Linked DNA regions of Saccharomyces cerevisiae S288C. The protein of the gene in region 4 interacts with the protein of the main gene of each other region in a biochemical or structural test. Each region holds a gene or a part of one and is shown on either strand. Other genes may lie near its edges. The genes, in order: ATG1, ATG4, NUP159 and ATG8.

Region 1 (7,962 bases), on a different chromosome or scaffold from region 4:
TGCTTTTTTTGCACCTGAGCTTTGCTCCACTGAAAAAGAGTATTCCTGCTCATCTGCCATCGATATCTGGTCATTGGGGGTCACTATATACTGCTTGTTGTTTGGAAAGTTGCCTTTCAACGCCAATTCAGGATTAGAACTTTTCGACAGTATTATCAATAAACCCTTAGAATTTCCATCTTATGAGGAAATGTTGAATGGTGCCACTTCGGGAATCACAATGGAAGAATACACTGATGCCAAAGATTTATTGAAGAAGCTGTTACAAAAAGATCCTGACAAACGGATAAAACTAGCAGACATCAAGGTACATCCGTTTATGTGCCATTATGGTAAAAGCGATGCAGCATCCGTATTGACCAATTTGGAGACGTTTCATGAGTTGAAAGTTTCACCGCCCTCTTCATGCAAAAGGGTAGAATTGGTCAGCCTACCAGTGAATTCATCATTCGCCTCTTTAGATAGCGTTTATATGGAAAATTTTGACCACAATAACCTTAGGACTGGTGCTGACAGAAATTCAACATATTCTCCATCAATATACGACGCAAATACCTTATCACCCTCAGCATATCACAACATCGGTTCTAGAGAGTCATCCTATTCGTCCTTTTCCTCTTTCACATCATCCACCGCTTTTGCATCTCAGATCAGTATTCAGGATGCCCCAGCAATCGGTGATCAACAATGCTTGATAGGTGAGAGTGGAAGTTCATTAAGAGTGAATTCTTGTGAGTTTCCACAATATACAACTATGTCTCCTGTAGGAGAATATCCCTTTGAGAGTACGGAAGCAAGTTTGAGCTCTACTCTTACGCCTGTCGGTAATGTACCTCAACGTATAAAAGCCCACCTGGTAGAAGGGAAATCTAACAGCAAGGATGACCTTAGAATAGAAGCAGACGCATCACTTGTATTTGAGGCTAGCGACGCCCAGCGCACGAGAAGAAGAATGTCTCTTTATAAGCTTTAGCATGATATATGTAAATTATTTTAATAGATGTAATATATGATTAGAAACTTGATAGAAGGATCTAAGTTAATTGTCATGTCGGATCCTAATACCAATTCTTTTAATATTGTGTTTGTTTTTGAACGTTTATTATGACTTGTAAAATACTGTTTGTAACAACAAATTATAAAATGAATTTTAATGAACTCAACAAGTAAAAATAATAAAGATATTAATGACTTGTTAAAGCCTCCTCAATCAAATCATACATACATACATTTATATATATATATAGAACAAAAGGTTAAAGAATCAAATTTTGAAGAAATAAAAATTAGATTAAAAGGATATGTATAGCCAAAGGCAAGTACTAAACGCAACAAAAAAAAACTTAAAAAGAAAAAAACACACCGAAACCGAAGGAATTCAATAATTTCCTTAATTAACATTTAAACATCAAAATAAAACCCATCCAGGTATAAAAGAGCTGGATTTCAAGAAAAAAATCACGTAGAAATAAAAACAAAACAAAACACAAAGGGAAAATAAAATTTGAATACTTTAATGACGAACTCGTAAAGCATTTCGAGAGTAGCATAACATAATCATGAAGATACTTGAAAATATAGCAGGTCATTTGTACTTAATAAGAAAACCATATTATGCATCACTTAATTTTGGTGGTTCATCTTCTGCCTCAATATTTTCAACCTGTTTGCAATACTATCAATATACTTTCTTATGATTATTCTGTCATTTTCATCCAACACACTATGATACTTCTCTTTATCTTCAACGTCGTTACTTTTTAGATGTATGTTAGTTTTAAAAGGGTAGTCACCATAGGCATTCGTAAAATCATCATCGTCCAGAGAAGTTTCTAACATCCAAAGTGAAGTTGCATAAGCTAATTCACAGTTGTACAAATTTTCTCCTTTTAATTCCATATGTGCGGCCATCTTAGATATTTCTAATGCACGATCATATAATAGCTTTTCTAAATATACTGGCTCTTCCGAACTACCTTTTTCTTCCAAAGTTTGATTTTCAGCTACCTCAGAAGCATGCTTGAATCTCAAGTCGTTAATTTTTAATCTCAGGAAATCAGCTTTTTCTAAACATTCATTAAATTTTTCCCTTAGCCACTGTACCAACACGTTAACTCTTAGAGAACATGATTTTTCTTGAGATTCATACCACCAGTTGGACGTTACCTGCATAGATTTTGATAAAATGGATAATGCCTTCATATATAAGACAATGGCCTCATTACATAGAAGGATCATTTCCGAACGTGGTAGTTTATTGAAAGTTGCACTCAACTGAGATGTGGCAGATAAAGTTCTACCCTTTCCAAAAGTTTTCGTGGATAAGCAATCTTCCTTGTACTTTTTCAACGTTTCATCCTCTTCTTCTGCATCGTCTGAGTCTTGTTCTTCTGCAATAGCATTACTATCCATACTGCGCCTGTTCTCAAAGTTAGCCATGCCTTTTAATGTTGTTGATAATGGAACAATTTGAGAAAATTTCACTTCTGCATAAGAGTAAACAACAAATGCCTTTGCGGCCAGAGATTCCAAAATACTAACGATATTAGTATTATCTAATTTCAGTGTCTCTGGATGCTGTAGGTGATCTATTCTTAATATTATATTCTCAGTAAGTTCATGAAAAAGTTGGGAATTCAACAAAGTTTGACTGTACGGTGGGGAAGATGTGATTTGTTGCTGTTGCTGCTGTTGATTTGCACCACCAAACAATCTCGTTGATGCAATACCGAGGGCTCTTGATAATGCATTAGATGGATTCAGCGAGGATATAGACAAGCGTCTATCCACCAAAGATGGTCGCCTAGACCCATCACTACCTCCACTGGAAGATGATGTGGCCCTCAGTAACCTCGGATTTTCTCCTTGATTTTGAAAATACTGTTGATTGTTTGGAGAGAATTGCTCATTCAATAAGACGTTCTGATTTTGAGTTGAAGTTGGGTGCTTAATAGGATTTGGATTGAATCCTGCTTGAGCAACCTCGTCTGCCAATGAATTAACTTCAACCGATTTCTTCTCTACCACCACATATTCTCTTTCAAAGCTTCTATCTGAAACTAGGCTATTATGGTATTTATTATTTGAAGCCTTTTTATCTACGGCTTGTGTATGGTCTGTTTTAACGGCTGGGGCAGTTAATATATTGCTGTTCTTGAGGGCATCACTGAGCTCCGCGGGATTATCTGCCATTGATTGATGACCTGCAAGATTACTGTTCGGACTCTTTGGCTGTTTAGATAAATACTCAGAAACGAACATATTACTTTCTACAATACCTTTTGATTTGGATTCTAACTCAGGTAAATCATCTTCCAATTCATAAGAAGACAAGTCTTCGTTGACTACCTTGTTAGCAAAAAACTCCTCAAATCCTATTCTTTGGGCTGGATCAAATGTCAATAAACTACATATCAACTCTTTTAACTCTGGTTCAATATTGCAATATGAAGGAAACGTTATGACATCGTTTGCTCTTTTAATTTTCTTGAATAACTCCAAATGATTGGAAGCTCTAAACGGTGGGGTGCCACAGCACATTTCGAATACCACTGTACCGACAGACCACAGATCTGCTTTAGCGTTATATTTTTGATAATTCAAAATTTCTGGTGCCATATATAATGGTGAGCCACAAAGAGTTTCTGCTAATGACGTGTTTGGCAAAAATCTTGCAAACCCGAAATCTGCTATCTTTAAAATGGGTAAGTTGTAGATCCCAACAAATCCAAGTTCATGGAAGCTTTTTGAATCATGATATCCAATTAGGGGTGTAGATAATAGTAAGTTTTGAGGCTTGATGTCTCTATGAACCAAGTTTTTAGACCTCAAAAATTTCAAAGCGGACGCTAACTGCTGTAAATAACTCAAGACAAACGCTCTATGCAGGCCGTTATGGTTCTCACTCGGTGGAGGGTATTTTTCAAATACGGTCCTTAGTAGAGGATGATTCTCCATCAATTCTTTACGCCTTTTCAACAGAAATGTTAGGTCCCCAAGAGCACAGTACTCCATGATCAAATAAAAATCTGTTGATGTTCGTTCACAGTCAATAAGTCCGACGATATGAGGATGCTTGATTTTCTTCAAGATAGCGATTTCTATTTCCAAATTCTCTAGTAATTTCTTATTTTTTAATTTCGCCCTTGATACTTCCTTTATGGCTACATGCTGAGATTTGTCGGATGTCAGATGCCCTCTATATACAGTGGCAAACGAACCCTTTCCGATTTCTTTCTCAGCGGTGTAATTTCCTGCACTTGCCATTAGATTATGGTTCACAGAGGTTGTGTGATCTTTATTTTTAATGTCTCCCATTTTCTTAATTTCTCGTCTGGTGTTGTAAAAGAGATTTGAAAATATGGGGTAGCTTCAAATTCGTTTTGTGGAGATATCAATGATTATTCTCCTATCTCCTTTGCCTTATGTTTTTATTATATTATATGTTATTTTATTATGGGTACTATTACTACGATTGTATTATATCTTTTTATCTTCTATAGTACTGTTCTCTGTTTCCCCAGAAACTAAAAAGGGTAAAAGATGGCCTTGGTACTTAACTTAAAGGTGATGAAATGTGGCGTTCTAGAATTAACCTCGGCCTAAAAAATAAAAAGCTAAAAAAAAATAGTACGATCAGGAAGATATTAATAATATAAGCTCCTTTATGAGATGCTCGATTCCTTTTGTTGCCAACTAAATGACGCTTAGAATTCCATCGATTCCACGATCGATATAGTTACAAATCACAAACTGATGCTGATGGGGGAAATGGTTTAAGAAATCAGAGCCGAGCGGTTAAAAAGAAAAACAGATGCTTGAATACGAATGATATGCTTGCTTCTTTAACGGTATGGCTTTCCAGTAATAGTTACTCCGATAAGATTCATTACAGATACACGAAACGAACAAGGAAAAGATGATTAACGGGAAAAAAAGAGAGTTCCTTATCTCATTGATTTTAACTAGTGGGTTTTCCTTACATTACCGCCCAATCCCTTTTTTTTTTCTCGCTCTCACCGGCGGAGCGCGAGCGGAAAACGCCACCCAGGTGACTTTTGCGCTAAGTGTGGATCAAATACAGTGGTATTAGTCATTGATGTGCAGCGTAAAACGTCCGGAGCAGCTGTGTAATGCGGCTGTGTAGGGTGAATACAATAGAGAATATGACTAATTCTGGTATATAGTCGTTGTTTACAGATATCTTTCGTTACTTAGTGTCATTTAATTACTTAGTGTCACTCTATATGATATGTAATGCGGAGCAGCGGCAATGTATCTTATTTTTATTGTGTGTAGAAATAACCTTGTGGCAGGTTTCCTCCTTGCGACATTTGCTGAAAAGATAATGGCGCCTGTTGCTGTTGCTGCATCTGAAGCTGTTGCATCTGGATCTGCTGTGCTTGAGCCTGAGCCTGGGCCTGAGCCTGAGCCTGAGCCTGAACTTGAGCCTGTGCCTGTGCCTGTGCCTGAGCCTGAGCCTGTGCGACAGCAAGCTGTTGCTGTTGCTGTTGCTGCTGTTGCATAGCCATGGCGTATTGCTGCTGATCTACATATATCATTCCGGTAGCAGGATCGTAATACTGTTGAAGGGTACCATCGAAAACTGCTGGCTTTGCTTGTACAAAAGATGCTGAATTTGAAGTAAAATCTGGCGTGATTACATTTGTACCATCAAAAATAGCTGGCTGTGGGCCACTTGTTGTCGCACGTCTCCTGGGCAGGGGCGGAGTTGATGTTGTCGCTGCTGCCGATACACTATTTCTTGAACTTGAACTTTTTTCTAGATAATCGATTGCTCTATTGATATTTCCGTGAGCGGACGATAATGCATCTAAATTTTTGTTTGTATCACCGAAACCCATGTCCTTGAGTTCTGCCAGTTGCCTAGAATATCTGCTTCCACTGCTTTGGAATGAGTCCCTGGAACCGCCGTAGTCAGACCTATTATGGCCCCCTTTATAGAAAGAATGAGATCTGCTCCTGCTCCTACTTCTATTTCTTTCATCAAACCTGTCCGATTCCCCATCAAAATCATCCATTCTGGATCCAAAGTCTTCAGGCTTTATTTCATCATACCTGAATTTACCCAAAATATACTTGTCTCTAATGTAATGCTCCACGATGGCTTTGTCATCATCTCCATCAAAAGGAAAAGGGACATTTTTAGGATTCCAGAACCGAGCATTCCCCTTATTGCCTCCAAGACTCACTAATTCATCGATATCCTCTCTTGTCCATCTATCCATTGATAGTGATTTAACGTTAGAAAAGGCATCGTCGTCTCTGCTACCGAAAACTTTTCTATGAACAGAGGCACACCTACCACAAAGGAAAACCCCCAAATTAACTGAGCACCAAGTTGGGTAGAAATTACCACATTCACCGCATTTATTGGCATTCTCGGACGAATTAATCAACTCCTTTAATTCTCTGTCAACATGTTTTAAGCTATGGGAAGAACTCCTAAACCTCATTTTTGACTAAGTATAAATAAACTATAATCTGTGATTGACAGAACGCTGCCTCCATCTATATTAATGATTGATCAAGAGAAAATGTTCTTCTTCCACCCTTTTGTGAAGCATTTAGAGATCAACACTAACTTTCTTCAACTTACAATAATTTCCGGGTGCCCCCATTTATCGATTACCCGGATCCGCTTTGCATCATAGTGTGTCGTTGTCGAAACAAAAGCGCCGTATTATTTGGTCAACGTTTAATAAAGTAAAAGCAGCATTTGAGATGCTCTATACAACCTTCTTAATTGCAACCGACATAAAGGTATGTTTTTCTCTTCTTATTATGACAAGGGAAACTTGAAGAAGAATTCGTGTCTTGCCATAATTTCAGCATCATCGTCTCAACCTAAGCCTCTTCTCACGAAGGCACGCTCAAATATCTTTCTGGCTCTAAAAATCTTGAATAACGAACCGAATTTACCATCTTTCCTGCTTTTTTATGCGTCGAAAAAAAGTAAAATAACCGCCCAGATCACGAAATTGCATATAAAAGGCGATCTCCCGTCCCACCGTTATTCTTTGCGATATAGACTAAACGGCGGAAACTTTATGTGTAGTATCATAAACATTCAACAATGGTATGTCTAATAAAACCATCATGGTACACAGGACTGAACACTAACTTATAGACGGGTGCGTGCTACCCTCTTCTTATTATTAGGGGCCAAAGAGACAGACAGTATCACTCCAAGAGAAAAAGAACCGGATTCTGAACTTTTTTCAAGAGACGTACACATTCTACAACATCAAGGAATTAGAGAAAAGCATACCTAAAAAATGCGGAATCTCACCCATGATCGTTAAAGATTTAGTGCAACAAATGATTGATGAAGACGGCGTCATTTCGGTGGAAAAATGTGGTAATATTAACATCTACTGGTGCTTTAAAAATCAGACACTGCAAAAATTGTATGATTCAAGCGAGTTGATAAAAAAAAAGATACAGGAAGTAAAGTGTGATATTGCCACTTATAAACAAGAACTAGACAAAACGCTAGCAACTGGAAGGCGTAAAAAATTTACGGTAGGCCAAAAATCATACAATAGGGAGGCTCTACTGGAAAAGAGAAAAAAAATTCAGGATGAAATTAAGAAAAAGAGTAATAGTCTCCAAAAAATAGAAAGCATTAGATGGGATGCAGCAAAAATACAAGAGAATAAACAACAGATCCGCCTAAAAAAAGTGCATCTGGAGAAAACTACTGATAACATTGAGATTCTCATTGATTATTTATACAAGAAATTCTTTTTGAAGCCAGAACAGATAAGAAAAGAATTTGGAATTCCAGAAGAGTTCAAGGAATTTACGGAGGTTTAACCTTCATGCACTATACACGAAAGAACAAAAGTGTCTTGATTATTACATCTACATTTCCAGGCATAGAGCTTGCAGATTAGCCGCCCATAAATTTGCCACACTGTTTTCCGTGGCGCCACAGTC
Region 2 (6,855 bases), on a different chromosome or scaffold from region 4:
AAGGTTTTGTCGTTTGACTTCGTAGCTGCTTCGAGCTCCTTTTGTAAAGAGTTTGCTCTTTCCTCTTGTCTTAGATTATCTCTACCCAATTCAATAACTTTTTTTTGATACCCCAGTATCACATTTTCTAACATTCGAAAATCCTCTTTCGATAAGGAGTTTTGTAGAAAAATTTTGGCACCGTTACAGTCTTCTATCGAGATATCTGGCGATGTATGTTCATCAGTTGGTTGAGCAGAAGCCTGTTCATTTGCCCTCGTAAAATGCTTCGAAGAGTTTTCTCTAGGAGTAGAGTGTATGAAATTGGGTACATCCTTTTTATGAACATCAGTACCTATGGGAGACTTATCTTTTTCGTTTTTTGGTCGTTCTTGTAATCCTGGAGATTCCTGATAACTAGTATTTCTAGCATAATTCATTTGATCCATAGATGGTGATTTGTTCTCTTCATATGAGTCTCTAGCATTGGAAAAGTTGCAATTGATGACATCTTCAGGGTTAACGAATAAAGGTAAGATGGATTTTCCGACATGATTTTCATTTAGCCAGTTTTGTGGGATTGGCTCTCCGTCTTTAATTTCCCCATTCTCTGATACAGGAGAATCCAAACGCTCATGAAATGGAAAATTCATTAAATCGAAATCAGTCATGATGTACAAAAGACCTGTCACTATTTACTAGTGATTATTTTTTGTATGTGTAGATTTCTTCCCGAGGAACGTTAACGTTATTAGTTGTTTTATTACTATAAACGTTCCACAAAAAATTGCCTAACGCCTCACGTCGCGCAACGCGAATTTTCACAAGAAGATGTTATTTACAGTTACGATAATTGAATTGGATATGTAACGAGAAGTTGTACCTAAAACTCCGTATGTGTATATTACCATAGATTTTTCATGGTCTAGTCTAGAAAATAAAAAAATATGTATATACGCAATTGTTAAGAAAATGAGGATTAAAAGCTTGGAAAATATTAACTTTCACTGTGTCTTAAACCCGATCTATTCTTTTTAATTTTGGCAAAAATTGGTTCACTTATACCTTTATTGCCTTGAATACCAAGGCCCTCTCCACTTTTCCACCCAAGCTTTTCCAACATTCTTCTACCGATATTTTCGTTTCCAATCTCTGGAGCGTTTTGACCAACAATCTCACCTTCTTTAACATGAAATTTCCCTCTGATTGTTTTAGTTCTTTCGAAAGCAGCTTGTTCCTCCCTCGGTCTTCTTATATCTATTCTCATGAATACTGGCCTCTGCCTCATCAATTGGTCAATGAGACTATAATTCGGAGAAGACCATTTCGTTTTCTTTATTTTTTCTACAACAACCGACGTATGATTTGCTTTCCCAATTTTTGAACTCTTCATATTATAATGCTTCGCAATTTTCATTACGGTCTTGTTTCCATGAGGATCTAATGGAGGGAAAGTCAGTCTATCATTGTTCCTAGACAAAAAGGACTCAAATTCATCTTTAATATTTTGAATATGGAGTCCATATGGGTATTTCTTGAGCATATCGTTCGAATTTCTATTCTCCTGATCAATGAAATCTTCTTTGGCTTTTCTTTTCTTTGCTTTGGTTTCTATGCGTTTACTAAACTTACTTTGTAACGTCTCCAACGTTTCTGTATCCAGCGCTAAGGCGTCATCGATGAGTAGCTTCTTCTTCTTACCTTTACCCTTAGTTTCCAAGGACTTGGTTTCAAATGTTTTGAATCTTTCTGTATCATGTTTCAATGTGTATGCAATTAGGTCGTCCAGACCCTCTTCAATGTCGCTATGCACAACCGAGGAGGCCATATCTTCATCATCTTCATAGCTGTCGCCTTCATAGCTGTCACCTTCATCACTCGAATCAGAAATCGGAATATCTGAGTAGGTTGGCTCAGCTGGTTCAATTTTTGGTATAAGAGAATTTTTAATAAAATTCAAATATGCAGGTAATCTATCTTCAGGAAGACCTAACTCGTCTACAACGAAGTCTGTGAGTAAGTCCTGGTCAATCCAATGAAAGTCGTAATCTCCCAGTAATCTGTAACACCGTAGATAATATGAATTGTCTACTCCGCCCATTCTTATATTGGAGACCACTATGTCATTAGTATTTATGACAAAATCTTCTTCTTTGAATCCAAATTCTAACTCTTCGCTAGCAGGAGATGGCAGATTATCATTATTGCCTTCGAATGTTTTGGTACCATTTATTGAAAGACATTTTATATCTTCTGTCAACTGCGGACTAGGGCTTGGTAAAAGATTGTTGTCAGCTCGGGAATTGTGACGTTGGCCAACATAATTAAACCCTTGATCAACCTCAGAACTTGCTGAGGATTCGTATAAAGGTTCACTATTATTCTCTGTTTCTATTTCGTAGTCTAGTTCATCATTGTCCGAGTCGCTAGTATGCATACCATGTAATACGTTGGAAATGTAACCAGCAAATGGATGATATGTCTTATTACCCTTATTTGGAACGTCAACACTAATTTCCTTGCTTTCGTTACCTTCGGAAACGCTAAGTTCAACCTTTCCAATTGTTAAGATAGGATCGAACTCTATCGCAACTTCTCTTGGCCTTGCGATTTCCTCGATACATACTCTTTTTATTTTGGTTAGATCCGGCGATTGCTGAGCCTCTTCATCTACAAAAAACAGGTCACCATCTTCAACTTTGCTTTCATTCGAAGACAGCGAGTGGTCCGTCGAGGGTGAATTCTGACTATCATCATCCTCGTTTTCACTGTCTTCATTGTTAATATATTCAACATCAGAAGTCATCTTTCCTGGTTCTTCAAAAACGTCTGCTTCCCTTTCGACAATTTCTTCACTGTTCTTTGTTTCGTTCTTTGCTCTCAGTTTTTGAATCATATTGTGGGATGGATCGTAAACTTCCTTAGCTTTTACAAATTGCATAGGTCTTTTGCGGAATGCTGCCCTTCCTGCTTGTAGGTCAGTTGAAGAATCATATCGATTACCTGGTCTTAAACCACCCATTTTCATAGAACGGCTCTTGGCATCGCGACCAAAATAATAGTCTTCTATAGTTTTTGGTGATATGAATGCTCTTCCTGGGTTGAAGTCGGCGCCTACATCATCAAGATCACCTTCTCCTAGTGGTATAGAAGAGTTATGCCAACTGTTAGTGGGAGTAGGTTTTTTCTTTATCTTTCTGCCTTGTATGCCTTTAGCATTCCCCCTGCCAGCTTTCTTGGAATTGCTACCACGTGCATGCCTACGTCTGCTTCCTTGATAATGACTATGCCTTTTTGCCATTTTTTTTGACGGTTACAACAATTTATGCTTATATTTGACTCTGCGATTAAATCACTTCTTCCTTCTAGAAACTCTGCGCAGGCCTAATTGTTGTTGTTTTGTTCAGATCTTATTTAATTGTAAAATGTCAAATTTCACTTTTATTCTTTAGGCGGTGACCGTTGCAGCTGCCAACAATAGCGCCTCAAAGGAAAAAAGTAAAAATATACACACAATAACGTTAGTAGATGAAGAATGGACGACTTCTTATCACGTATAGGAGTGATATACATGCAGAGGTGGCTACAACTGTGGAAAATGGATTTGGTACAAAAAGTGTCTCATGGCGTTTTTGAAGGCTCGTCCGAAGAACCGGCTGCTCTTATGAATCATGATTATATAGTATTAGGGGAAGTATATCCTGAGCGAGACGAAGAATCTGGCGCTGAACAATGTGAACAAGACTGTCGATATCGCGGTGAAGCGGTTAGTGACGGGTTTTTAAGCTCTCTTTTTGGTAGGGAAATTTCTTCTTACACAAAGGAATTTCTTTTGGATGTACAATCAAGGGTCAACTTTACATATCGGACAAGATTTGTTCCTATAGCAAGGGCGCCAGATGGGCCTTCACCTTTAAGTCTAAATTTATTAGTACGTACAAATCCGATCAGTACAATAGAGGACTATATAGCAAATCCTGATTGCTTTAACACTGATATTGGGTGGGGGTGTATGATAAGGACAGGACAAAGTTTGTTGGGGAATGCCTTACAAATCCTTCATTTGGGCAGAGATTTCAGGGTAAATGGTAACGAAAGTCTGGAAAGAGAATCAAAATTTGTAAATTGGTTTAATGACACGCCTGAGGCTCCATTTTCGTTACATAACTTTGTTTCTGCAGGTACAGAACTCTCTGATAAAAGACCAGGTGAATGGTTTGGTCCCGCAGCTACGGCAAGGAGTATACAATCTTTAATATATGGCTTCCCCGAATGTGGCATCGATGATTGTATAGTATCTGTTTCATCCGGCGATATCTATGAAAATGAAGTTGAAAAAGTATTTGCTGAGAATCCAAATAGTAGAATATTGTTCTTGTTGGGCGTGAAGCTCGGGATTAATGCGGTAAATGAGAGCTATAGAGAAAGTATATGTGGTATCTTAAGTTCAACACAGTCAGTAGGCATTGCCGGCGGTAGGCCGTCTTCATCGTTGTATTTTTTTGGTTATCAAGGAAATGAATTTTTACATTTCGATCCTCATATTCCTCAACCGGCAGTAGAAGATTCATTTGTAGAGTCGTGCCATACCAGTAAATTTGGTAAATTGCAACTATCGGAAATGGATCCCTCGATGCTCATTGGTATTTTGATTAAGGGCGAAAAAGACTGGCAACAATGGAAGCTAGAAGTTGCAGAATCTGCTATTATCAATGTTCTTGCTAAGAGAATGGATGACTTTGATGTGAGTTGTAGTATGGATGACGTGGAAAGTGTAAGTTCTAACTCAATGAAGAAAGATGCAAGCAATAATGAAAATCTCGGAGTACTAGAGGGAGACTACGTAGATATTGGTGCAATATTCCCACACACAACAAATACAGAAGATGTAGACGAATATGATTGTTTTCAAGATATTCATTGCAAGAAACAGAAGATTGTTGTTATGGGAAACACACACACTGTTAATGCGAATTTAACAGATTATGAAGTAGAAGGCGTCCTTGTAGAGAAGGAAACGGTAGGTATTCACAGTCCTATTGATGAAAAATGCTAGTGTAAGGAATTCACTAGTTCATAAGCATATATACTTGTTTTAATATATTCCCTAAAACTGAGGTATCCAGTTCTTTTGTTCTTATTCGTTTGATCATCCTTTACGTATTTTTCGTCTGCGGCAGTGGAAAGAACTTAAAAAACGAAAGATAATAAAGAAAAAGGCCAGTCGGCACGAATTAAAGACCACCTGTAAGAAGATTAAGACAACGGTGGTATAAACTAGTGTCGAAGTCCAAAATGCCTAGTCATCGCAATTCAAACTTGAAGTTTTGCACAGTTTGTGCATCAAACAACAATCGTTCAATGGAATCGCATAAAGTCCTGCAAGAAGCAGGCTATAATGTTAGCTCTTACGGAACAGGTTCAGCTGTGAGACTGCCTGGTCTATCGATAGATAAGCCTAATGTGTACTCATTTGGTACACCCTATAATGATATATATAATGATCTTTTATCACAATCAGCAGACCGTTACAAGTCGAACGGTTTATTGCAAATGCTGGATCGTAATAGAAGACTCAAAAAAGCACCTGAAAAATGGCAAGAAAGTACAAAAGTCTTCGACTTCGTTTTCACTTGTGAAGAGAGATGTTTTGATGCCGTTTGTGAAGATTTGATGAATAGAGGTGGGAAATTAAACAAAATAGTGCATGTAATTAATGTTGACATTAAAGATGATGATGAAAATGCTAAAATTGGTAGCAAAGCTATATTGGAATTAGCTGATATGCTCAATGATAAAATAGAACAATGTGAAAAAGATGACATTCCCTTTGAAGATTGTATAATGGACATTTTAACTGAGTGGCAAAGCTCACATTCTCAACTACCGTCATTATACGCTCCTTCATATTACTAAACAAAACGGTCAATTACTGTAGAAAAGCATAAGCATTAAGCGGCCCTCATGAATCCTACATTATCCGTGAAATTTCAATACTTTCACAAGTCTTCGATAGCTTCCTAGTTATATTCATTATATAATATTACGTTTCTTGTTGCGGCTCTCTTAAGCACATTATTTGCTTGTTGTCCACATAGCTATTTTTTTATCAAGAAGCTTGATATACAACACACTGTATTTTTAGTAAGCTGGACAATGTCTTGTCTCAATGTAGCGTATAACAGGTTTCATTCCAAAACACATCACCAGATATAGGACTGAAATGAAGAAAATAGAAGCATGAAACTTTAAAAGTTTCAGTACTTTAAGAAAGAAATAAATAGAAAAATGTTCCATTTATTTCTGAAAATAAATCAAAAATTATAAGATCCACCCGTTCCTACCAAGACCTTCCAAAATTTTTCCCATAACGGGAACGAGCAAAGTTGAGACTGCTCAAAAGAGCACATCTTCAAACTACAATCCCGACCAAATAATCTCAACAGCCATACCTTCATCATAAACTTAAGTTCATTCGAATCTGCCGTCAAAAACTAAAATGGCACGCTAGAGAAAAGTAGTCAAAAAGAATGCCTCTACAAAGCTCTCTTTTGAAAGGCCCCAGCTCCCCTAACACCAATTTGAATTTGGTGTCAAACTTCTCCAGGCAGAAGAAACAAAGGGCCCCAAAAATCAGTTTAACCCAAAAATCCCCAAAGGAATCAAGGGATTAACCAATGATTGAAACAAGGGAATGGAAACGTCAGCAAACACGCCTTCCGCGCCGTATGTGTGTGTGACCAAGGAGTTTGCATCAATGACTTCAATGAACAATTATAGTTCAATGATAAATGCTTAACGTCCTTCTACTATTGGAAGCGCATGTTTGATCAGTAGGACTTCTTGATCTCCTCTGATATCTTAAGGTAAGTATGA
Region 3 (9,593 bases), on a different chromosome or scaffold from region 4:
AATAAAGGGTAAATGGTTAAAAATTGTTATCATAAATAAGGTGACCGGTTATATTGAGACCTTTCCTGGACAGTAACTAATACAGAAGCCATTGGTAATGCAATAATTTATTTGATCATGTGACTACGATCCGGGTGAGACTATTCAAAAAAGGAGTCAAGCATTGAAATAATTAATGACTAATCCGAAGTTAATTGTTAGGAGTCAATTGTTTTTTCCAATGAATGGAATCTGAGATGACTAAACTACCAATTTTCAATAGTTCATGGTATAGTGACGTAGTTAGTGCTTTTTTTTCTTGGATCTGTTGACTCACTTCAATTGATGTTTCTTACCCTGACATGACATACTTGATATTTTATCTCTCACGTTATATAACTTGAAAAGGATGCACACAGTTCTGTTCAATATACCCTCCAATATGTAAAAACAGTTTTTCCATTGATTACTCTTAATTTGTTTCCTGCTAAACCAGCAGTACGTGTGTGCCGTATATATTAAAATTACACTATGGTTTTTGATTTGAAAAGAATTGTTAGACCAAAAATTTATAACTTGGAACCTTATCGCTGTGCAAGAGATGATTTCACCGAGGGTATATTGCTAGACGCCAATGAAAATGCCCATGGACCTACTCCAGTTGAATTGAGCAAGACCAATTTACATCGTTACCCGGATCCTCACCAATTGGAATTCAAGACCGCAATGACGAAATACAGGAACAAAACAAGCAGTTATGCCAATGACCCAGAGGTAAAACCTTTAACTGCTGACAATCTGTGCCTAGGTGTGGGATCTGATGAGAGTATTGATGCTATTATTAGAGCATGCTGTGTTCCCGGGAAAGAAAAGATTCTGGTTCTTCCACCAACATATTCTATGTACTCTGTTTGTGCAAACATTAATGATATAGAAGTCGTCCAATGTCCTTTAACTGTTTCCGACGGTTCTTTTCAAATGGATACCGAAGCTGTATTAACCATTTTGAAAAACGACTCGCTAATTAAGTTGATGTTCGTTACTTCACCAGGTAATCCAACCGGAGCCAAAATTAAGACCAGTTTAATCGAAAAGGTCTTACAGAATTGGGACAATGGGTTAGTCGTTGTTGATGAAGCTTACGTAGATTTTTGTGGTGGCTCTACAGCTCCACTAGTCACCAAGTATCCTAACTTGGTTACTTTGCAAACTCTATCCAAGTCATTCGGTTTAGCCGGGATTAGGTTGGGTATGACATATGCAACAGCAGAGTTGGCCAGAATTTTAAATGCAATGAAGGCGCCTTATAATATTTCCTCCCTAGCCTCTGAATATGCACTAAAAGCTGTTCAAGACAGTAATCTAAAGAAGATGGAAGCCACTTCGAAAATAATCAATGAAGAGAAAATGCGCCTCTTAAAGGAATTAACTGCTTTGGATTACGTTGATGACCAATATGTTGGTGGATTAGATGCTAATTTTCTTTTAATACGGATCAACGGGGGTGACAATGTCTTGGCAAAGAAGTTATATTACCAATTGGCTACTCAATCTGGGGTTGTCGTCAGATTTAGAGGTAACGAATTAGGCTGTTCCGGATGTTTGAGAATTACCGTTGGAACCCATGAGGAGAACACACATTTGATAAAGTACTTCAAGGAGACGTTATATAAGCTGGCCAATGAATAAATAGATTAATTTAAACAGTATATGTACAGTTTTATATATATATATATATATATATACATATATAAAGAAACCTGTGCGTTTTTTGTATTTTCAAATACATTTAGTTTTGGCGCCACTTCTATAAAAGGTCTCATGATATTGTTACAATATCAATTTTTCTTCGTTTCTCATGCCCTGTTTCTATGATAGAGGATGAATTTATTATTAACGGCACTAACAACGTACATATAGCTAAATATCACTATTTTGCCATGTTCAAATTTTTGAAGAAATCACCAATTTGCTTTTTCGTATTCATGGCCAACCCAACTTCTACTACTTTAAATCCTTTCATGTCCTTTGTTATTGAAGAGGATGCATCGAACGACGAAGCCTTTTTACCTTTCTCCTCCAATTGTAACCTACTCACTTGCTCACGCAATAATTTGATTTCTTTTAGTAAACCGTCACGTGCAAGAGATTCTTTAGCTAGTTTTGCCACTAATGGATTATCGTCCAATCTCTTATTCTTTACAGTGAACAATTTTAAAATGTTCAGCAACTCTTCAGTATGATTAATTTTGGCGGACACATCGAATAGCTTTTGACGTAATGTCTTTTGCATTCTAAATTGATGCGTGCTGAGATCTTTAACGTATCCACTCGAAGCATCATCAAAATGCATTAAAAACAGATACTCCTCTTTTGCATTGGCTACATCTTCAGTTATTTGTGCAATATCTTTCCTGACATAATCTGTAACTTTTTCCTTCAGGTCTTGAATGTTAGCATTTGTTATTTGCATTTGTTCACACTTGATATTATTCTGAATATTTAATAGAATTTCAGCCTCTGGTATTCTCCAAGTATACAGATTATTGATAGACCGCACTGTACGCTTCACCAAAGGGATGCTCGATTGATCAGTAAAAAAAGTATCCATATTCCGGATGTTTTCCATCAGAACAGTAAACTCAGCTTCGACCGTCTGAAATGTACTCTCAATCAACCTTAACGTAGAATTTTGTGAAACGAAAGGAATATTTGATACTTTTGCACTTGTGTAATATTCTTTCAATTGCTTTGGTTTGCATTGCTCTGCTAAATAATTTTCGTCACCTTCAAATGTTTGAACAGAAAAATTACATGTTTCAACAGGCTCAGTTTGCAGACCATTGTCGACTGCTTCCTTCTTAACAGTTTGTGTACTGTTGTGTTTCACGGGTATGGCATCCGTTTGAACTTCATTTTCCTTGGAACTTTCTGAAAGGTCTGTCTGTATGCCAGATTCAGCATAATTGTCTTCTAATGAAGTTTGTACATCAAAATCAGCGGAAGCGCTCACTTCACGTGCTTTAAAAGCTTCTCCACCATGAGGTAGCTCATCAGTATTAATATCTTCCAGTTTATCGTAGGACTCAGATATACTTTCATCCCGGTCACTGTTGAGTGACATGTTATCATCTGATTCTTTAACTTCACTGCTTTGTCTACTGTCTTTTTCGCTCGCGTCCTCTTCTGAAGATTGGTGGTCTTCGAATTGCTTTATTGCCATATTTGAATCAAAATTCTCTTTTTCATTGTCTTTTTTCAATGCTATTCCATCTCCTTGGACACCATGATTTGGTTGACCGCTCCTTTCATTATTCTTCGAAGTTTCATTCATTTCTTTAGACTTGTTATCGTGATCAACCACAGCATGTTGACTATATTTTGGGTCTGTTTCGCTTTTTTCATGATTGTTCACGTCCTGTGACTTTGGAATTTCTTCGTTTGCTGTGGTATCAAAAGCACTTTCAGAAGTCCTTACAGATATTTCACTTCCTGATACATAACCATCTTTTGGGTCATCGTTATGATCCTTTTTAGAACTTTCTCCAGTTCTTTCTTCTTTCGCTGGTAGAAACGGATTCTCCACACTCTTCAAGGTTATGGGGCCCTTTTCACTAGTTTCTTTAGTATCAGCTTCTTCCATTGGTGAAACCGTAGATGTATTACTTTTATTCATTGTGGAGTTACCAAACGAAAAAGCAGGTGTTGTAGAGCTTGGTTTGGTAATATTTGTTGCAAATGCTGAAAACGGCGATTCGGATTTTGCTTTGACATGATTTCCAAATACAGGATTTTTTAAACCAGCCATGTCAATATTGGCACTTTTTTTTATAGTTTCAGTTAGCTTGCCTATGGGGGATTTTTGCGCTTCCTCCTCGACAACTTCACCATCTTCATCCGAGGGAGTTTCCGGTAATCTAGTAGAAGATGTTTGCTCAACCGTAGAATCTGTCAAATCATTACCGCTTACGTTGGGACCATTGCTTTCGTGTTCTTCATTATCGTCATTGATTTCACTGGTAGAGCCCTTACTTAAAGATCCATTTTCAGTATCATCTTTTGTGAAGGAACTGAATGGTGATTTGTTTCCTAACTGTGAAGAGAAAGGTGAAGCCTGAGTACCGAATTTAAAAGTTGTATCGGAACCAACAGATTCCAGAGCCTTTGAAAATCCAGATCCAAAGGAAGAACTCCCAAAATCAAAGGCATTGGTCTTTGGTTTCGTAGAGGTGTTAGGTTTCGTACCAAAAGGTGTCGAAGAAGAGTCTACATCACTCTTAGACTCATCTTCACTTTGATCGCCAGAAGATGGGAAAGGTGACGTTGAATCTACCTCCTTTGGGCTGTCAACTGTAGGTTTTGAAATAGTAAAGTTTGATCCGAAAAGTTCATTGTTGGCGGGTGCAAAAGATGATGAACCAAATGCAGCCTTTCCAAATATGGATCCAGAGTTAGTTTCGTTACTTGATGCAGTTCCGAATGCAGATGTACCAAAAGAGGGCTTACCAAAGGCAGATCCGGAAGCAGGCGGCTCAGCAGATGAATTTCCAGAGCCAAAGGAAGGAGTACCAAAAGAGGGCTTACCAAATGCAGATCCGGAGGCAGGCGGCTCAACAGATGAATTTCCAGAGCCAAAGGAAGGAGTACCAAAAGAGGGCTTACCAAAGGCAGATCCGGAGGCAGGCGATTCAACAGATGACTTTCCAGAGCCAAAGGAGGGAGCACCAAAAGATGGCTTGCCAAAGGCATATTCTGATGTTGACGGTTCTTTGGCAATAGCTCCGAACGCGGGTTTGCCGAATACTGGCTTAGCAGAAGCAGGATCTGTTGCGTCTTGTTCACTGGACGCTACACCAGTACTGGTAGATGAGACTGATGGCAAGTCAATTTTAAATGCGGATGATCCAAATGAGGGAGCACCAAAGGTTGAAGAACTTTGAGACTGCAGGCTATTGGCAGCGGCTGGTTGTGTTTTAAGAAAAGTGAAGCCTGATGTATTTGCTGATGTGAAAGGATTCTCTGATAAAGCCTTACTTGATTCATTATTTTTCTTTTTTTCTTCCTGCTCCTGTCCAGCAATAGGAATTTTTTCTGATGTAGGAGAGAGAGATTTCTCATGTTCTAAAGATTCCAGATTTATGCTATAATGGCCGCTTTTGATTGCTGCCACATGAAACAACCCGACTATCTGTAAGCTACCTTCGTTATTCAATATGTAAACGAGCGGCAATCGCTCTATCGTATCAACACCGGAACAAGGTTCTAGAATAGTGCCTGAAGTAACGACGTCAACTGCCACACCTATTGGATTTGTGTCCTTATCTGTTTCCTCACTGATGGGCAATACTGCTCGTTCAGAATCCTGGGAAGGTTCAATAACTTGTTTCGAGTCCCATATACTTACTTCACTTGAACATGATGATGCTAGCACATTTACGTTTGCATCAGGTTCAATTAAACCAGACAAGGTAACTTTGTACATATATGGGAACCTTACTATTTGCCCGAATGGAGGTGTAATATCAAAAGTTTCTTGAAATGAGGCGCTGCCGTCTATGTGCTTTATAATGTACATTTTTTGATCGTATGAAACTTCGTCATCGGTCTCTGATATAACATTACCGAAAACCGCCAAAAAATCCTGTGGAGAGAGAATGGTAACACTCAAAGGGGAATATTCTTCTACTGGAAGCTCTTCTAATTCTGACGGTAGAGAGAACTCAAATTGTTTTTCCATTTCGCCATTTCGCCATGCAAAACTTTGAAAACTTCTATCTTTTAGTAGAACTGCTAACTGCGAATTTGTGACATCAAAAGAGGTAACGTTTTGTGCCAGTTGCTTAGTCGATTTTGTTCTTAAATCCAGTGCTGATAAATCATTGACTGAATTTAAAATTACTAAAGTGTTATTAACGTTCTTCAATTGGAAAACTGGCTTCTCAAAAGAAGTGACCGTTCGAAATTCACTCAATTCCTCCAAGTCTAACGAATATAATGCATTTCTGGTTGAAACCAAAACCTGATCACCATGAAAGCACACAAATATTACATCTGGGATTTCTTTCTCCCACTTGAACGTTAACGGAGTAGAGTCGGAGGTGATATGATCTCTCAGTAATTGTAATTCGCCGACCACCGCCTTACTACCAGAGGCAGCAACGAATAAAGACTTACTGTTTGAAATATCGAGATTTTGTAGAGATGCAAATGGCAGTTTTTCATTGAAGGAAGGTAGAATTTGTTTTTGACCTAAAAACTTAAAACCGAAGTCTTCGGAAGTCTCAGTGGGTACTTCATCCTTCAAAGAAGACATGTTATAATGGTTCTGTAATCAATATATATATATTTATGTGCGTTTCTCTGCTAAAATTGCAATAATGAAATTAAACCTTCACGCAAAATCGTTATTGAAGTTGGAGAGGAGACAAATTAACCTGAGAAATATGAATTGGTGTGAAGCAGCGTATGTGTGACAGAACAAACAAGCCTAAACGCCGATGTCAAACACAATTTTTTCTCCAGTTTATGCGTGCAACTATCCTTCGGTCCTTTGTCTTTTTTTCTCTTTTGATCAAACAATTGAAAAAACACTGGTCGTAGGTCACGATAAAAGTTGCGATGTCCCCTCCCACCTAGTTTCCTAAATACTATTATATAATATTAACTAAACAAACGTCAGAAAAAAAAAAAACTCTATCAAAAGTACAAATCCTTATTTAGTAAAATTTATAAGAAAATAAAATCTCTCAGGGCGAGAACGATAGAGACCAGCCAAATTTGTGGACTGGTTCAGTCAGTTGTAGCGCATTGAAAGACATACCCACACCCAAAGAAATATCTTTATTCAAATTTCGCTTGTACGACAATGTAGTCAGGCCTGAATCTGCAATTTTTGCCTTAACTTGCGAAATAGAATCTGGTACGTATCTGGTAACAAATTCAATGTTCATATTAGAACTTGTCTTCGATTGTAAAGTGGCTTTAGTTCCCACTTGCAAATAGCGGTTAACGTTTTGAAAAAATGAAGCAGTTGCGCATTGCCTGTTGTTAGTAGACAAAATAAACGAATATTCTCTGGCAAGATACCCGATTGACATAGCATAGCGTGCACATAAACCCGCAGCTGTGTCATATGCGATGTCAGTGCCGCCAACAAACCCGCGGTGGCCCAAAGTAACACTTCCGACAAAGTCCTTAGGTTGCAAGATGTCTATAGAAGTTCTTGCTGCAAACGATTTTTGGGCGTAGCTCAAATTAAATTTGGCGTTCTTGATGGATTGGGGAGTCAAAAATGCGTTGACATCACCTTTCCAACCAGGTGCTATCTTGGAAAATTCGATTCTTGTATTTAACCTGTTCTGGTTCGACCAACTCTGAGATAGCGACACTCCCTCCTTCCTGTCATAAAACCGTCCTTCTACGCTAGTTTGGATGGGGCCTTCTGTCACGCCCTGCTTCGCCTTCAGAGTAAAATTCACACCATTTTCCGTGGTTGTTGAAATATTCAAAGAGAGGGGGTTGGTGTGAAAAAAGTCCCTATTGAATAGGCCATTGACATCTCTAGATATATCGTTGAAAAATCGTAGTGCCATCGTAGGTAATTTCTAACACTTTCCTCTTCATGCAATTCCTTCACTCGAGAATAAAACAGAAGAGCTCCATCTTCACTATTCTTTCTTTTCTTTTTGTTCCATTTCTGCAATTGGAAGCGAGAAAAAAGGAAAGGAATTGCTAAAGGCGCTTTCAATCATGTAAGACAAATTAGTATTTGGTTAAAAAATGCAGAAGCTCAGTCGCAGCATAGAAAAAGAACTAAACTTTTAAATGCTGAAAACTACGAACAGATTTTGCAGTGTGTCATTTCTGCGGAATCCGTTATTCGTCTCATTTGCTAGGCAGGGCGCACACTATTGGAATAGGAGATATCTTCCAGATAGAAAAGGGTTTTTGCGTCGTACGGCGCGGCCTTGGCAACTCCCCTTCTGGAACAGGCAACTTCCTAATTAGGTTGCCGCAGCGAATAACTTTAATCAGTTCTTATCCCCTTTATGGTATACTGGGTGATATAAAAGAACGAGTAAGACAAGATCAGCAACAAAGTTGAAGATAATCTATTATCTAAAATAACACATACGGCTGCGCACTTGTAGCCATAATCTCGCATGAACATATACACATCACCCACGCGAACACCGAACATCGCACCAAAGAGTGGCCAAAGACCATCTCTTCCTATGCTGGCCACAGATGAGAGGTCTACGGACAAAGAAAGCCCGAATGAAGACCGTGAATTCGTGCCTTGTTCGAGTTTGGACGTGCGCAGAATCTACCCAAAAGGCCCATTACTTGTTCTCCCGGAAAAGATCTACCTTTATTCAGAGCCCACGGTAAAAGAGCTTTTACCCTTTGATGTGGTCATCAACGTTGCTGAAGAGGCAAACGATTTACGAATGCAGGTTCCTGCTGTCGAGTACCATCACTACCGATGGGAACATGATTCGCAGATTGCGTTGGACTTGCCATCATTGACTAGCATCATACACGCAGCTACGACTAAGCGAGAGAAGATACTGATACATTGCCAATGTGGGCTGTCGAGATCCGCAACGCTGATTATTGCATATATAATGAAATATCATAACTTGAGTCTGAGGCACTCATATGATCTGTTGAAATCAAGGGCAGACAAGATAAACCCTTCCATAGGGCTTATTTTCCAGTTGATGGAATGGGAGGTTGCTCTTAACGCGAAGACTAACGTGCAAGCCAACAGTTATAGAAAAGTACCGTGAGAGAGAAAAAAAAAAAAGATATAGCATTCAATGAGGCTTTATTGAGGGGCACGATGCTCTTTTTTTCTTCTGTACTTTATAAATAATTCCGTATTTCTTCGCTTTGTTTCATGCTCTGTTCTGAGCTTTTAGTTTCTCTTATTGAGAGCCTTTTCCAAATCAAGGCTCAGGAAGTGACTCGTCCTTAGAAGAACAAGGTTTGGATTTGGTAGGGTTCTTGTACGAAGTTCTCAATATAATTTGCGCATTTACTGTACGGTTCATACTAGTTTATTCCGGGTAACAAGTTTTCTTGTGATGCTAAATCAATGTGTATATTGAGAAAACTATGTAGTAAGTTACACAAAGCAACAAAGGATATTATTATATGTGACAGAGAAGAATTGCTGTAGAGATTCATGACAATATGAATGAGACTACTACAAAACAGCCGCTAAAGAAAAGGTCCCTGAGCAGCTATCTTTCAAACGTGAGCACGAGACGGGAGGAGCTGGAAAAGATTTCTAAACAAGAAACATCCGAAGAGGAAGATACTGCCGGCAAGCATGAACAAAGGGAAACACTGTCGGAAGAAGTAAGTGATAAGTTTCCAGAAAATGTTGCATCGTTTCGCTCACAGACTACAAGCGTTCATCAAGCCACCCAAAATAACCTGAATGCAAAGGAATCCGAAGACCTGGCCCATAAGAATGATGCGAGTTCACACGAAGGAGAGGTTAATGGGGACAGCCGTCCGGACGATGTTCCTGAAACGAATGAAAAAATAAGCCAAGCAATACGAGCGAAAATTTCGTCATCATCATCATCACCCAATGTACGTAA
Region 4 (5,932 bases):
CCTGTCTACAACCGTTATTCTGTATCTACAGTATCCTCTTTATTGTCAAAGCCCACTTTATCAACCGCAACAACTAATCTCCAACAATCAATAACTGGCTTTAGTAAACCCTCCCCTGCAAACAAGGAAGATTTTGACTTAGATGACGTAATATTATCCCCCAGATTTTACGGTATTGCATTATTGATTACCAGACTACTTCGAGATATTTGGGGGAGACATGTCTTCATGACTTTTACAGATAATAGGGTGACATCCCATGCTTTCATTTCTTCTTCTGATCCAATCACTCCATCTATTAATAACCTAAAAAGTGATGAAATTTCACAAAATAGGAACATAATATCAAAGGTTTCTATTTCCAAGGATTGTATCGAGTACTATCTATCTTCAATTAACATTTTAAATGAATTTTTCATCACTTATGGTGATTCAATTTCCCAAATATCAGCTCCCTACGTATTAGCGAACAATTCTAACGGCAGGGTTATTGATAAAACAGAAGAAGTTGCAAACCAAGCGGAAAGTATAGCGATTAATGCGATGATCAAAATGGTACAGTCCATAAAGGAAGGTCTATCATTCTTGAACGTTTTATACGAGGAAAGCGAAGTCGAAGGATTCGACAACCAATACCTTGGTTTCAAGGATATAATCAGTTTTGTAAGCTTGGACGTCCAAAAAGATTTAGTCAAACTAGATTTTAAAGATTTATTTGCTCCAAATGACAAAACAAAATCATTAATTAGAGAAATTTTATTATCCATCATCAATAGGAATATCACCAAAGGTGCGTCGATAGAGTATACCGCAACAGCTTTACAAGAACGCTGTGGATCATTCTGCTCTGCAAGTGATATATTAGGATTTAGAGCCATTGAACATCTTAGAAGGGCTAAAGAAATTGGCTTGCGTAACTATGATTCTCTAAACTATCACCTGAAAAATGCTACTGCTTTACTTGAACAAATTGTGGATGATCTTTCTATCGAGAAATTGAAAGAAGCTGTATCAATGATGCTGAGTGTAAATTATTACCCAAAATCTATTGAATTCTTATTGAATATTGCCAACTCTATGGACAAAGGCAAACTAGCTTGTCAATATGTGGCAAATGGATTTTTAGAAAATGATGATAGGAAACAATATTACGACAAACGTATCTTAGTTTATGACCTAGTTTTTGATACTTTAATAAAAGTAGACGAACTTGCCGAAAAAAAACAGTCATCAAAAACTCAAAACCAAATTTCGATATCGAATGACGATGAAGTGAAACTGAGACAAAAAAGTTATGAAGCCGCCCTAAAATATAACGATAGATTATTCCACTATCATATGTATGATTGGCTTGTGTCTCAGAACAGAGAGGAAAAACTATTAGATATTGAAACTCCATTCATACTCCCTTATTTAATGGAAAAGGCAGGTAGTTCATTGAAGATATCTAATATACTCTGGGTCTATTATTCAAGAAGATCTAAATTTTTCGAATCTGCTGAAATTCTTTACCGTTTAGCTACATCGAATTTTGACATCACATTGTTTGAAAGAATTGAGTTTCTTTCACGCGCCAATGGTTTTTGCAACAGTGTGTCACCATTAAGCCAGAAACAAAGAATTGTACAATTAGCTAGTAGGATCCAAGATGCATGTGAAGTTGCTGGTATTCAAGGTGATATATTGTCGCTCGTGTATACAGACGCAAGAATAGATTCAGCCATTAAAGATGAGCTGATCAAAACTCTAGATGGTAAAATATTGAGCACAAGTGAGCTGTTTAATGATTTTGCTGTACCCTTAAGTTACCATGAAATTGCCCTATTCATTTTCAAGATAGCAGATTTTAGGGACCATGAAGTAATTATGGCCAAGTGGGATGAGCTATTCCAATCTTTGAGGATGGAATTTAATAATACCGGAAAGAAAGAAGATTCAATGAACTTCATCAACTTACTGTCTAATGTACTGATTAAAATTGGTAAAAATGTTCAGGATTCTGAATTCATTTTCCCCATTTTCGAACTCTTTCCCATTGTCTGTAATTTTTTCTACGAAACACTACCTAAGGAACATATTGTATCAGGGTCGATAGTTTCTATATTCATAACAGCGGGTGTTTCTTTCAACAAAATGTACTATATTTTAAAAGAACTAATCGAGACATCAGATTCCGATAATTCCGTATTTAATAAAGAAATGACCTGGTTAATTCACGAATGGTACAAATCGGACAGGAAATTTAGGGACATTATTTCCTACAACGATATCATTCACTTGAAGGAATACAAAATTGATAATGATCCAATTGAAAAGTACGTTAAGAACAGCGGCAATAATTTGGGGATTTGTTTCTACAAAGAATAAAAATTCATGTTCGACATATAGATAGCAGGGTAATGTACGTGTATATTTTAATGTAATAAAGAGGCCTTACTAGACGGTAAAGTTAAGAATATCGAGTGAACTTTTCCTTAAGATAAAGGTAAATATAGTCGAGTATTTATTTATTATTCTTTTCCACTATACAGTATTTAAAATTCTGTAAGAAATTGATTCTACATACATAAGACAAACGAACAGGTCAGAGAGAATCAGATTTTTGGTTAGCAAGAATACATTTTGGAGAAGAAAGACATTAACTCCACCTTACTGTATCATCTTATTTGCTTTTTCACTCCTTCCTAATATTTTTTTTATTTTATTTTGAATTTCTTCCTATTTCTGATGCATTGAACAGATCGTAATCTGTAAGTAAATACCATAACGTGCTCACATTTGTCTCCAAATACTGGTGAAATCTTGGCTCCGTTGTGTACAAAACTTCTTAATGAATATATATATATTTTTCCCTTATTTTATCTTTTTTTTTCGAATTTTTTATGTAAACATTCTTATACTGGAACAATAGATGGCTAATGAGTCCCTATAATTTCGATTTTAGATGTTAACGCTTCATTTCTTTTCATATAAAAGACTACCTGCCAAATGTATTTTCTCCTGAGTAAGTGACATACAAAAACCCGTCCTTATCCTTGTGTTCTTGATATATGGCAGACATCAACGCCGCAGTAGGTGGCAAAGTATCATTGACAAAAATGAAGATGGCCTTCTCAGGGGGTAGCATAATTCTCTTTCTTATAACATAAACAAATTGCCCTACGGTAAGGTCAGCAGGAACTAGATATTTACGCTTATCAATCTCTGGAATATCTGACTTTTCAGCTTTTTCGCAAATCACAGGTATCCTATTCTTGAACCTGTCAGCAATCCTCTCCGACTCCGCCTTCCTTTTTTCAAATGGATATTCAGACTTAAATGTAGACTTCATGTCTCTAGTAATTATTTTATTATGATTTTCTCAACTTTACAATTATTAGATTCTCTTATCAATCCCCTCCTCAACCTTTAATGGTTCCCCTTTTTGTATTTCCATAATTATACCAAATATTTTTGCCGCCGCCGAAAATAACCGGCCTCCGGGTGATGATATATCATGTGCTATGATTTCACGGGTATTATACAACATTATCGGTGGAGACAGTTAGCATTACATGACTCTAACTTAAACGTAAACTTACACATATACATCTATATCACTTCGAGTAGAGAAAAATTTGTACGTATTTATATGAGTTGTTTTCATAATTTGAACACTTTTAATTTGAAAATGGTGTCATTAATAGATTGTTCTTCATCACCAATTGGGTCTGTCTTTGAGCCGTCATATTTGGCAATGTCGGATCTACAGGTCTTGCTTAACATATCAAAATGTTCTTTGACAATGGCTTCAAAGTCGATAGTATCTTTAACTAATTCGTACTCCACTAAAACATCGTCGGTGGCTTCCAAACCACACTTCTTTCTCAATTTTTGGATTCTGTTGACCAGCTCTCTTGCGAGACCTTCACTCTTTAGTTCAGAGTAAATATTTGTATCCATGATGATTAACACGTCTTGGTCGGTTCTGGTTTCTTGTCCAGCTTGGACAGCAGATTCTGGCAAGCCTCTAATAGCATTCAAATCTCCTTTAACCAGTTCAATACCGGCAACCTCCAACTTTCCGCTTTCCAAATATTCCCGTACTTGCTCAGAAGTGACTGATGGTAGGGCATCTTTAACCTTCTTTGCGTCTTTTTTCAACTTCTTACCCAATACAGGCCAATCAGCAACTGCTTTATACTCAACACCATATTTTGCCTCATCGGAGGTGATAACAACATCACGAACATTTAATTCCTCGATAATGTAGTTTTTCAAGGCTTCTACATCCTTCAAGTATGATTCATCACTGTGAAGGATGACCAAAGTCTTCAATGGAGTTTTTAAGGAAATAGTTTTCTTTTCACGAATGTTTCTACCCAAATCGATAACGGATTGCATTCTAGAAACTGCAGTTTCGATGGCCTCGTCAAAGTATTCTTTCTTGACCACTGGGTAAGATAAGAAATGGACTGATCTTCCGTCCTTACCGTATTTTGCTAAGACAGCTTCTGGGATGTATTCCTTCAGTCTCAAATAAATGCTTTCTGACAAAAATGGGGTGAATGGAGCCATGGCACGGACAAATGTGAATAAGGCATCGAATAAAGAATTTAATGCTTTCAAACAGTCCTCAACACCGTTTTCACCCTTCAAACGACGACGATTAAATCTAATATACCAGTTTGTCAATTCATCAATGAAATTCAAAAGTTTTGGAACGACAGTGTATAATTTGTACTGACCCATTTCTTCGTGAATGAATTGTACTAGAGATTGCATAGAAGCTAAAATCCATCTGTCCATGACATTATCACTTTTCACAGAATCATCATATTGGAAGTCGATGTTAGACATCTTTTTCAACAAGGCAATTTGACCGTCCAAAAATTTAAAGGAGTTCCACCATGGTAGTAAGACCTTTGAAACAACCTCCTTAACACCCTCTTCTTTGAATTTCAAACTTTCAGCTTTTAAAACAGGTGAGTTTATCAAGTACAATCTTAATGCATCCGCACCATATTTGTTCAGAACAATGGATGGATCAGGGTAATTTTTCAAGGATTTAGACATCTTTCTACCATCGGCAGCTAAGACAATACCAGAGACGATGACGTTCTTGTATGGAACAGAGCCAAATAGATGGGTACCTAAGACAGCTAACGTGTAGAACCAACCTCTTGTTTGATCCAAACCTTCAGAGATGAAATTAGCTGGAACTCTTTCGTCAAATTTTTCTGTGTTTTCAAATGGATAATGTTGAGAAGCATAAGGCATAGAACCAGATTCAAACCAACAATCAAAAACTTCTTCAATTCTCTTTAAGTCACCCTTACCTTGCTTGGATGGAATTGTCAATTTGTCAATGACATCACGATGCAAGTCAGTGATGTTACGCACACCGGTCAATTCTTCCAATTCTTTGATAGAACCAACACAGACGACCTCCTCAAAATCGTCTGAAACCCATAAAGGAATTGGAGTACCCCAATATCTATTTCTGGAAACGTTCCAGTCACGGGCATTGGCGATCCAGTTGGCGAACCTCTTTTCCTTGATGGTGTTAGGAACCCAGTGAGATTTCATCACAGAATCCAACATTTGAGGGACAATGTTTTTAACACGAACGAACCAAGCTGGAACAGAACGGTATAACAATGGGGTATCGGATCTCCAACAGAATGGATAGGAATGGCGAATTTGGGATGCCAATAACAAATTTCCAGTATTAGTTAAGTACTTAATAATCAACTTATCAGCGTCCTTGACATAAACACCCTCAAAATCAGGAACGTCTTTCGTGAATCTACCAAGGTCATCAATGGCGTTAGGTAACACTGAATCTTCGGATATGACGCCGTTCTTCAAACAAGCAGCATTATCCTCTTCACCGAAAGCGGGAGCGTTATGAACAATACCAGTACCGGAATCACTAGTAACATAATCATCT

The links.
Region 1: the proteins of ATG8 (region 4) and ATG1 form a complex in vitro, tested with the Saccharomyces cerevisiae proteins (3 studies listed by BioGRID, with this or other methods).
Region 2: the proteins of ATG8 (region 4) and ATG4 form a complex in vitro, tested with the Saccharomyces cerevisiae proteins (5 studies listed by BioGRID, with this or other methods).
Region 3: the proteins of ATG8 (region 4) and NUP159 form a complex in vitro, tested with the Saccharomyces cerevisiae proteins (2 studies listed by BioGRID).

What each region holds. Positions count from the first base shown.
Region 1 is NC_001139.9:156,420-164,381, reverse strand, and holds ATG1 (serine/threonine protein kinase ATG1), read right to left. Parts: upstream 4,318-7,962; coding exon 1,624-4,317; downstream 1-1,623. Other genes in the region: serine/threonine protein kinase TOS3, read left to right, coding at 1-973; GTS1 (Gts1p), read right to left, coding at 5,286-6,476; MND1 (Mnd1p), read left to right, coding at 7,097-7,099, 7,183-7,839. UniProt on the Saccharomyces cerevisiae protein: Serine/threonine protein kinase involved in the cytoplasm to vacuole transport (Cvt) and found to be essential in autophagy, where it is required for the formation of autophagosomes.
Region 2 is NC_001146.8:223,820-230,674, forward strand, and holds ATG4 (cysteine protease ATG4), read left to right. Parts: upstream 1-3,550; coding exon 3,551-5,035; downstream 5,036-6,855. Other genes in the region: CNM67 (Cnm67p), read right to left, coding at 1-650; SQS1 (Sqs1p), read right to left, coding at 977-3,280; SSU72 (RNA polymerase II subunit A C-terminal domain phosphatase), read left to right, coding at 5,275-5,895. UniProt on the Saccharomyces cerevisiae protein: Cysteine protease that plays a key role in cytoplasm to vacuole transport (Cvt) and autophagy by mediating both proteolytic activation and delipidation of ATG8.
Region 3 is NC_001141.2:142,418-152,010, forward strand, and holds NUP159 (FG-nucleoporin NUP159), read right to left. Parts: upstream 6,293-9,593; coding exon 1,910-6,292; downstream 1-1,909. Other genes in the region: HIS5 (histidinol-phosphate transaminase), read left to right, coding at 511-1,668; putative porin POR2, read right to left, coding at 6,726-7,571; mitogen-activated protein kinase tyrosine protein phosphatase SDP1, read left to right, coding at 8,142-8,771; HOS4 (Hos4p), read left to right, coding at 9,178-9,593. UniProt on the Saccharomyces cerevisiae protein: Functions as a component of the nuclear pore complex (NPC).
Region 4 is NC_001134.8:77,401-83,332, forward strand, and holds ATG8 (ubiquitin-like protein ATG8), read right to left. Parts: upstream 3,332-5,932; coding exon 2,978-3,331; downstream 1-2,977. Other genes in the region: NUP170 (Nup170p), read left to right, coding at 1-2,367; isoleucine--tRNA ligase ILS1, read right to left, coding at 3,643-5,932.